2 linked regions of the Ovis aries genome follow. The main gene of each other region encodes a partner of the protein of the gene in region 2 in a complex. Links are inferred from orthologs where the notes say so. Each region holds a gene or a part of one and is shown on either strand. Other genes may lie near its edges.

Region 1 (4,819 bases), on a different chromosome or scaffold from region 2:
TGGTTTAACTATCTGTGTGTTGAGGAGTGGGACTGGGTGAGCGAGGCTGGGAGGGTGGTCTGTAGGACTGAGCTCTTGGGACTGATATTTACTTTTGAACCTTGGCCCTTCAAACTGCCCTGTGAAACACTACCCATTCCCTCCTCCCAGTCCCCTTTCTCCCTTCTGGGGTAAAAAAGAGAGAGAAAAAAAATTCTTTTCACTTTTCAGCCAAATCAGTCTCTGGGTTTTATTCCAATTTATCTATAGAGTTAAATGCATCTTGTTTTCTCAGCCTTTCTTCCCCAGCAACGCTCTCTCTGAACCACAGGTGGGGAGTTGGTGGCACCACTCAGGCAAATTCCAGCCTGGGACCTAGGGTGTTTTCCACATTTCCTTATTTATTGCCACAAAAAGGCTAGGGCCACTTAACTTCTGTCATCTACACCTGTGGTTCCAATAGTTTATGCTATGATCTCCTGCCTTGAAGACAGATTTTCAAAATAAATGAGATGTTTGTTTAGCAATCTAAGTATTTAAGTAAAGACATCATGTAATGATTCATTGGCAACTGTATGAACTCGTGGCCAAATGTCTTTTACAAAAAATCAGCTTTGATAGTACACAATGTGGTCATATGATTTTTTTAAACAGAAGATTTTTTTTTAAAAAAAGCTCCTAAATTTTGAAGTTAAAGCTGTTATGTTCTAACCTAGTCTCAGGGCTGATTGGCTCAAAACCTCTGAGCCCAGTGATGTCACTTGACCCTCTCAGGGGGTGTCCAGGTCAGGGAGTTGTGCAGCTCCCTCCAAAGCCAGCTCTCCTACTGGCTAGCAAGCAAATTCCAAGGGATAGTTAGGATTAAGGGCTCCAAAGAGGATTCCCCAGCCCTCCCCCAAAGGAGGATCAGAAACTCTGGTCTAGTTCTGGAACAAAAATAAGCCCCAGTCAAGGAGAAAGTGCTTGTATGGATAGACTGCGTCCCTTCCCAAAGCTTGTGTCCCACCCAGGGAGTCATTTTCAGTAGGCAAGTAGGTGCAGAAGTGTGTAATCTTGCCCTATAAGAACACACATTCTCCTAAGCTTAGGCCCCAAAGGATGAAGGTAATAAAAACTGTTCACATCTTATTACCATTTGCTTTCTTGTTCCAGGAAACAAAAGCAACACACACAAACACAAAACAGCGCCCTCACCGCACACTTCATTTCACCCCATCCTCTTTCCAAACTGTCTCTCTCTGAGAATGGGAATCACCCGCAGGGGTGGGGGCACCAAGCTCAGCCTCAGCGGAAACACGCCCCAGCAGCACAGGCGGTAACGTATTAACTGGGAAGAATCTCAGGTCACTGAGAACGGTTTTCTATTAATAGGGGATAAAGCTCTTGCATACATTAGCGATAATGCCCTGGTGGCCCGCGCAAAATTAACTCCTCCCGGGCCAGCAAGAGGTAAGCCACGTTCTGCCCAGGCAGATGTGTGCTTGAAACACGCGTACAAACATACACGTTACACACACTGTGCTTTAGAACCGTTCCCCTTAAACATGCCAGACCCCATTCCCATCCCTAGTCCAGGGGGTTGCAGACGTTTTCCAGAGGTGTCTCCGGAGAGGGGTTGGTGGAGGCGGGGGCCCGTCGGGCACGGGTCAGCTCAGCTTTGCCACGCACACCGCCAAGGCCACAGCCGCCAGCAGCACTGCGCTGAAGATGGTGGCGGCCTTGGCCTTGCTCAGGTCGCAGGGCCCAGTGCGCTGTTCTACCGACACGCCGCCCACCGAGGAGACGCCGGCACTGGCGCTGGACAGGAGCTCGGCACCTGCCGCCTGCCGGGCCTGCACCGTCCAGCGGGGCACGTTGACCTTCATCTCCATATCCTGGATCATTTCGCCCACCTGAAGGATCTCCCGCTCCAGCTGGTGCAGGTCTTCCACGTCGAAGTCGCGATGCGCCTCGTGCCGCAGGCTGCGGGCGCTCAGGGCGCGCGCCGCTACGCCGGTCGCGCCGCCTTCCACCCCTGTGCGCACCAGCGGCCGGCGCGGCGCCTGCAGCGGAAACTCAGTGCTCAGGGCCAGTGCACGCCGCATGTCGGCTTCCAACAGGTCCAGGCAGCCGGAGAAGGCCACCCAGAGGCGCTCGAATTCGGCGCGCTCCTCGGCGCCCAGGCTCCGGTCTCGCAACGGGGCTGTCAGCCGGACGCGGATGGCCACCGCCAGCTCCTGCGCCTTCTGGCGCGTCTTCTGCAGCTCCTCTCGCAGGTTCTGGGAGTCTGCGGAGCCTCCGATGGTCAGCACCAGGTGGTGGTAGCATGCGGTCGCCTTATTAAGCGCGTCCAGTAGCGCTTTGCACTCCTCCTTCGCCATGGCGCTGCTCTCCCGCGCAGCCCGGCCGCCTGCGCCCCTCTCACCTTCACCCACTCAGCGCAGCAGGATGCAGCCAGCCTCGACGGCGTTCCTCGGCCGGACGGCCCGAGCACTCCTCATGGCCCGAGAGGAGCTTGGCGCTGCCGCTGCTCAGGGTCCACGACAGGCGCTTCCGCTGACCGGGTTTGCCATTCCCTCATCCATCCACCCCAGGTGCGCTCCTAGTCACACGCCGAATCTCTGCGCAGCCCTCGCCTCCACGGTAGCACCTGCGAAGCCCGTGTTGAGGTCCCCATCCTCCTCCCTTGCCGTCGCCAGGGCTAGCGGGCCGCTGAGCCGCTCGCTCCGGGCGCCTTAAGGGCAGAGGTGTCGGGTTTCTTAGGATCCGCCCACCCCCGCCCTTCCTCGCTGAGCGCTCCCATCCCATGGACCAGGGATAGGCGGGGCCCTGCGCGGGGAGGTCACGTGCAGGTCCCCCCTCTCCCCCTCCTCTGCACCCCATTACAGTCTGGAATATTAACGCTCAGCAGACCCAACCCTCCTCTGTTTTTGAGAAGGGGAAACTGAGGCTCAGATTTAAAAGGGAGGAGGAGGATCAAGCTCACGCCACGTGCATGTAAGTGATGGGGCTACAATCCAGGGGCTCTGACTCTTAGACCCAGCCACCGACGGAAGTAGTATGCTTCGTAGGACTGGACACCCCTGTCCTCCAAACCGAGTAGTAAAGGGCAATCTGCGGGGCGGGAAGGCTGCCGTATCTCCCCATCCTAGTCCAGCCCGCTTTCCAGCAACAGAGCTTGGACCCCACCCCTTGTGTCAGATGTGTTTTTCGGCCCCGCCCCCTCCCGTTCCAGGCAGGCGCAGTCGATGGCTCTGGGCAGGTCCAGTCTGAAAAGGAAGTGTTGCTTGCCGCCTGAGCCCCACCCCTGGCTGGGCGGGCTCAATGATTGCTCTGCGCACGCGTCACTCTGAATAAAGACAGCTTCTCATTGGACTGACCAGAGTCCTGGGGGTGCGACTCCGCCCAACGGGGGTGGGCGGTGCAGCAGTTCTGCCGCGTTGGGGTGGTGGGCCCTGAGGTCTCTACCGAGGGGCCGGGAGGTATCGGCGCCACTCCAGGAAGGGCGGGGAGTGAAACTATGTAGCCTTTTAAGTAAGTGTCTTCCCTCCTGTCTCCTCCCGCGCCTCCCTTCCCTCGGGACGGCTGCGCCTCTGGGCTCAGAGGCCGGGCGGGGCCTCAGAGAGGAGAAGGGGGAGGGGCTCTTTCCTCGGCCGGCGCCCCAAGCTGGGCCGGCTGTCCCCGGGAGGCCCCCGAGGCCTGGGCCCATCGCGGAGTGGACAGCCGCGCCCGCGCTCTCCAGCTCCAGTCCGCAGCCTGGCTCGCTGTGCCCCTCGTGTGTGTTTGCGGGTCGAGGGGTGGGGTTGGCGAAGAGTGCGCGCTCTGACCCCCGCGGCATCTGTACAGGTTAGCAGTCTGGGATCCCAGGAACTCAGACTTGGGGGCAATAATAGTCAGGGCCGTCGCTCACGGGCTGGGTGGCTTCTGCGGTTTAAGGGAGGCCTGGCGGAGCGGGTGGAGGGGGGTGGGGCTGTGGATGGGAGGCTGTGGATAGGGGTGCGGATCCTCGAGCCGGGCTGTCGTGGTCCCCGTGGTGATGGAGGCGCTGGGGGGAGAGGAGGGAATCCCTGCTAGCCTGCCTCTCATGGGGCGGGGGTCTCCTCTTTCAGCTGGGTTAAGATTACCCCGGGAAAACTATGAAGCACCAAGGGGTGTTCTGGATTCTGAGTCTGTTCAGTTCTTTTCGTTGAAAATGGACTGCCCATTGGCGCGTGAGCAAGGCCATGCGGCTCTGGCCGCCCCTGGAGGTGCTGGGGACGTGGGCGCTTGCGATCGTGCAGGGTCTTGTTTGAGGATTTAGGACATTCAGGAAATGAGGCGCAGAAGAAACTGTAGGGGACTCCTAGTTTGCCTTGGGGCTGGAATTTTACAAGTTTTGTGGGTTTCCGGAAGAGAGACCCCTATTTCGATTAAGTAATTCACCCTTCCACCAGCTCTAGAGAGGAGCAGCAGATGTTAGCAGGATATTTACATTTCCAGGCCCCTTGCCAGGTTTGGCATTGAGGCAGCCGGCCCGCCTGCAACCCCGTGCAGAGCGCTGGGTTCAGGGATCTCTCGCGCAGAAGTCTGCCCTTTAATTGGTTGTTTCAGTGGTGATACTGTGGCCCTTGGCCGTCTCAGCCACCTATGGGCCAAATGGGGCCTTGACAGAGAAAGAGTAGTTTCTAGGATAAAATGGGTAGAAGGGAGGAGAACCCATCTCTTCTGGGAGCTTTGTGGACAGCAGGAGATGAAGCTGCAGAGGTGGGCAGGAGGCCAGGAATAAGAGGGCCTCCATGCCAAGCAGAGAAGTTGAGAGTGCATCTGATAGGGAGTGGAGTAGTCCCACCCAGGTCTCAGTGTTGGAAAGATCCAACACTCG
Region 2 (4,719 bases):
GGGGCCAGGTTAGGGATGATAGATGGGGACTTCCTGGAAGAACACCGTTGAGTCTGGAGAAACCCAGGAGCGTCTGGAGAAACCCAGGTCAGAGTGTCTCTGACCAACAGACCCTTCTTTACCCCGTGAGAGGCAGGAAGGGGCAGTCGACTTCTGCCCCAAGCTGGACTCTGCCTGCACCCTGGGTCCAGACCCTCCGAGCTCCCCTCCACACTTCACAGGCATCATCTCCTTCCAGACCAAATACACGTGTGCATGACCCCCTCCAGGAAGTCCTTCTTGACTGACTCCTCCCCAGTTAATCCTGCGACTTAGTAGTAGCAGTGGTCACGTTAGTCACTTCAGTCGTGTCTGACTCTTTGCAACCCCATGGACTGTGGCCCTCCAGGCTCCCCTGTCCATGGGATTCTTCCAGCCAAGAATGGAGTGGGTTGCCATTCCCTGCTTCAGGGGATCTTCCTGACCCAGTAATCAAACTTGGGCCTCTCGCCTTGCAGGCAGACTCTTACCATCTGAGCCACCAGGGAAGCCTGTGATTCACACACTCTCGGTATTTTGTATGAAAAAACAGCTGTGTCCCCCCAGTTATCACCCCTTCCAGTCTAGCTGTTTTACTCACAAAGGCTTCATCTCGCCAACTAAAAGGTCAGTTTCTCAGAGACACAGGCTGCGCCCCACCCAGCCGCACCCAGATATGCCCCGGGGTGATGCCACAGCAGCCCTTGGTCGGGCTGAGGACAGAAGGAGCTCTCACCCAGTCCGGAGATCCACAGGCGCTGGCTGAGCCACTGGAGGACGTCACTTCCTGCAAAGCAGAAGGGTCTGGCCAACGTCAGAGCCTCCCCGACACCTACCCACACGCTGCTGCCCAACTGGCCGCCTCCCTATCCAGCCGTGATCTCGTCCTGCTGCTCAGATCCTCCAGGGACCTCCCTGAACCCCACCCCCCAACTATGTCCAGTCCGAACCCCCAGCCCATGATTCAGGGCCTCCCACAATGTGAGTCCAGCCAGACTTTCACCCCATGTCCCTGCCACCCCCTCAGCCTTCACCTCTCCGAGGTACTGACTCTCTTTCCTTATTGATACAATAATGGGTGCCTGGACTGTCATTCATCAAGAGGGAGGTAAACACACTAAGTCTTGACCATTGGAAAAAAAAAAAACAGCCCCAAACAAGCTGTCCATGGAGCCCTGGACGGAGCTCAGTCCCAGCAGTAATGAGAACCCGGATGGGAGGGGAAGGGAGTGCGCCAGGGTTGGGGTGCTGGGTCTCAGACGCCACTACGTTCCCCTGCAAAACTCTGACAGCCAGTGCTACATCCAAGCCTGGCTTTTCAGTCATCATAAAGCCTTCTGTCAAAGCAGAAGGATGAGACACTTTCTTAGGAACACCCTGTAGTCTCAGTTGCAACTTCAGACCGTGGAGTGTGGGCTCCATCTGCCCTTGCGCCCTGCACATCTGAGGGCTGGCCCGGGGGCAACGCAGATGGGAGGCCGGCGGGGACAGGATCAGGGCCTGGGGAGCCCTCCCAAGGATTCACGCTGATCCACGGGCCAGGACAGGCCGAGCCCCACCAGCGGCCGAGAATGGAAGCGGGCCCTCAAGGAAGCTGTGCGTCTCCGGCTCAGCCAGGCCCCGGCCCCTCGGCAGGACACGCTCCTCGTCGGAGGCGGCAACGTCGTCTCACAACAAAGATGCACCCCAGCTCCAACGCCATCGAGCAAATGCCAACCACCACTCTTTCTAGCGACCCCAGCCTGCTTCCCAAGGGCTGAGCTGGGTGCCCTGCCTGAGTGGAAACTGGCCCACGAAACACACCACGGGGGGAGCCAGGGTCTGAACTCCACTGCCTGTGCCCTGGGGTGGGGGGCACAGCACGGCTGAGGGGGCACAGCCTGTACCCGCCCCTTCCTACACACGTCCTGAAGGCACACACATCCAGCCACCCACTCCCCACGTCCACGTGCCCACGGTGACGGCTCCCAGAGGGGCCCGTCGCTCTCGCCTTTATTCAGCCCCTTGCTTATTCAAAAGCAGACGTCTTCACTGAAAATCCAACTTAGAATCCCAGGACTGGGTGTGTTATTAGACGGTCCACCCCACGTCCCTACACAGAGGTGTGCACACCAAGAAGGGGAGCCCCCCACCCCCAGCTGGCAGCAGACGGGTTAGCACTCCCCGCCAAGGAGCCGAGGGCTTTTCGCATCCACTTGGGCGCTTCCTGAAATAGATCAGATGGGATTAGGGGGTTCCCGGGGCGTCCACCGCGTGGTCTGTGCTGATCTCAGCTCGCACGTCAGCCCCATCGTTCCCTAAGCCCCGGCCACCTGCCCTCCGAGGGGGCAGCGGCGCTGAGCCAGTCTGCTTTGAGCAGCGCCAATGCCGCACAACAGAGGCTCCGACTGCCGCTGGGATTCACCACGTAGGGCAAACGAGGGGGACCGTGGCTGAGTGGGCAGCGTCCCAAATCCGGGAACCGAGGGGGCCCCAGGTGCCAGGAAGGACAGTGGCTCACACGCCTAGACAAGGGATGAGAGGCTGGACGCTGGACTCGTGTGTGGGTGTGTGTGTCTGTGTGGGTGTGTGGGTGTTAACTCTGCCACCGCAGTGCAGAAGCAGCCACCGACAATACGTGAATGGGGATGTGGATCTGTTCCAATAAAACTTTATTCGCAAATACAGAACAGGGGCCGCTTCTGGCCTGTGGGCTCTAGTGTGCCAACACCTGTGTGTGGTCTGCTCAGGCCAAGACCAAACTGCCAGACACCTTACCCGTCATGGCGTGAGGGATGCTGACGACCGTGACCTTCTGGTTCTGCACCCTGACCCCTGTGTCTGGGTCCTGCATGTCCTTCACAAGGGCCTCGATCTGCAAAACAGAACTGCCCGGGTCAGCTGAGGGGCACCAAGGGAGCAAAAGACGGCAAGAGGAACATGGGGCGCTTACAACCAGGAGCCCACTGCCGTCTCAGGCCGCTGGGCCGGCCAAGAGGCTCACAGCAGAGGGGAGCGAGGAGACGCCCTGGGAGCGGGGTGGAGGGGGTGCTTCTCTTGGACACGGGTGGGGACCGAGGGGCCTGGGGCTGCAGGAAGCACCACTTCTGGACTCATGCCTGCCCGTGAGCCTGGGACGTGCCTGCTCCACCCAAGGCTGCCTGCCATTCGGATGTGAGAGCCCGGGGCCCCATTTCCCACGTTAGCTCCCAGAAGAAAATCCACGTTTATCCCAAAACGTGTATGAGATGAAATAGCAGCATTTCATGGAGTCCAAGCCCCCATACATTGGAGAAGAAATAGAAACCCAAGTTATGAGTTAGAAACCTGAGTTTCTCCAGCAGAAAGTCAGAGGGGTTGACTCCTTCTCTTTGCATCAAAAAAAAAAAAAAAAAAGAGAGAGAGAGAGAAATCTAGTTACAAAGGATTTGAAAATAACCTTCAGAGGAGGAATAATGAGAGTTATTTTAAAAACACGATGAGGGGAGTCAGATTTCTCCCTGACAGGTGTCACACTTCTCAGAAAGTGGAGCTGGCGGTGGGGGGGGGCAGCAAAGGGACCTCAAGAACATTCAGGGTTTGGGTCCACCGTCCTCAGACGTTCCCCAGGGAAGTCTCCCCGGGGTCTCTCCAGGGAGGAAACCACAGGACTCTGGCTGGTGGTCCCATCTCCGAGAGACTCTCTTATGGTGCCCACCCCTCAGATTCATAGGTTGAGGTCCTGGCCCCCAGGACCTCAGAATGTGACTGGATCCGGAGACAGGGTCTTTGCAAAGGTGGCCAAGTTAAAAGGAGGTCATTAGGGCGGGCCTGGCTGGTGTCCACTGAAGAGACGAAGTAAGGACTCAGACACACACAGAGCTTTCCTGGTGGCTCAGGCGGTAACAAATCCGCCTGCAATGCAGGAGAAGCTCAGGAAACACAGGTTCAATCCCTGGGTCAGGGAGATCCCCTCCTGTATTCTTGCCTGGGAAACCCCATGGGCAGAGGAGCCCGGTGGGCTCCTTGGGGAGCAAAGGGGTTGCAAAGAGTCTGCCGCGACTGACACACACACTGGGCAGGGGGAGGGGGCGCCACGTGAGGACACCAGCAGGGGACGGCCCCGCAGGCCCCGCAGAGAGCCACCTGGGGACCACTGCGCACACCTCGGCCAGGGCGTGCACTCCGGGCCCTGCCTCTGCCGTCGTGGCCCAGCACAGCCGCGCAGACCCGGGTTCCAGCTCTGCCTCCGGCAGGAAGGCCCGGTGCCCATCACAGATGGGGCTGTCTGAGCCGCGCCCCAGGTCCTCAGCGGGTGAGAGGCCCCTCCTTTCAGCTCCAACTGCTGCCAACTCCCCCCTGCTCCTCCCTGTGCCTGGGGGCCCAGAGACCCGGGGGGACAGCCACCCGCACCCCAGACGTCAGCCCCCCTCCAGCCCCCCAGACTCAGCCCCCCCACCATCCTGGGCAGCAAGAGGATGGAGGGGGACCCGGGCCTCGCCTGACGCCGGGTGACCCCGAGCTGGGGGCGGGATGGGGGCGTTGGAGGCCACGTGCTGAGCGTGACTACTCCAGGGTCACCAGGAGCGGGAACCGCGTCCCACCTCCCACGCCCACACCGCTCCTGCAGGAGGGAGCTGTCACTCATGGGGCAAGATCGCAGGCTGGAATTTTCCTGGAATAATCATCAGCCCTGTTCTGCACGGACAGCGGGCAAGTCTACAGCACCATGGGGTTGTCCGC

The links.
Region 1: RGS9 (region 2) and RGS9BP share a complex: the UniProt entries of both Homo sapiens proteins name them as parts of the RGS9-1-Gbeta5 complex. The link is inferred for Ovis aries from reciprocal best matches to the Homo sapiens genes RGS9 and RGS9BP.

Annotation. Positions count from the first base shown.
Region 1 is NC_056067.1:42,655,444-42,660,262, reverse strand, and holds the start of RGS9BP (regulator of G-protein signaling 9-binding protein), read right to left. Parts: upstream 2,674-4,819; 5' UTR 2,340-2,673; coding exon 1,626-2,339; 3' UTR 1-1,625. UniProt on the Homo sapiens protein: Regulator of G protein-coupled receptor (GPCR) signaling in phototransduction. Participates in the recovery phase of visual transduction via its interaction with RGS9-1 isoform.
Region 2 is NC_056064.1:61,170,559-61,175,277, reverse strand, and holds part of RGS9 (regulator of G-protein signaling 9), read right to left. Parts: intron 2,873-4,719; coding exon 2,776-2,872; intron 806-2,775; coding exon 755-805; intron 1-754. UniProt on the Homo sapiens protein: Inhibits signal transduction by increasing the GTPase activity of G protein alpha subunits thereby driving them into their inactive GDP-bound form. Binds to GNAT1. Involved in phototransduction; key element in the recovery phase of visual transduction.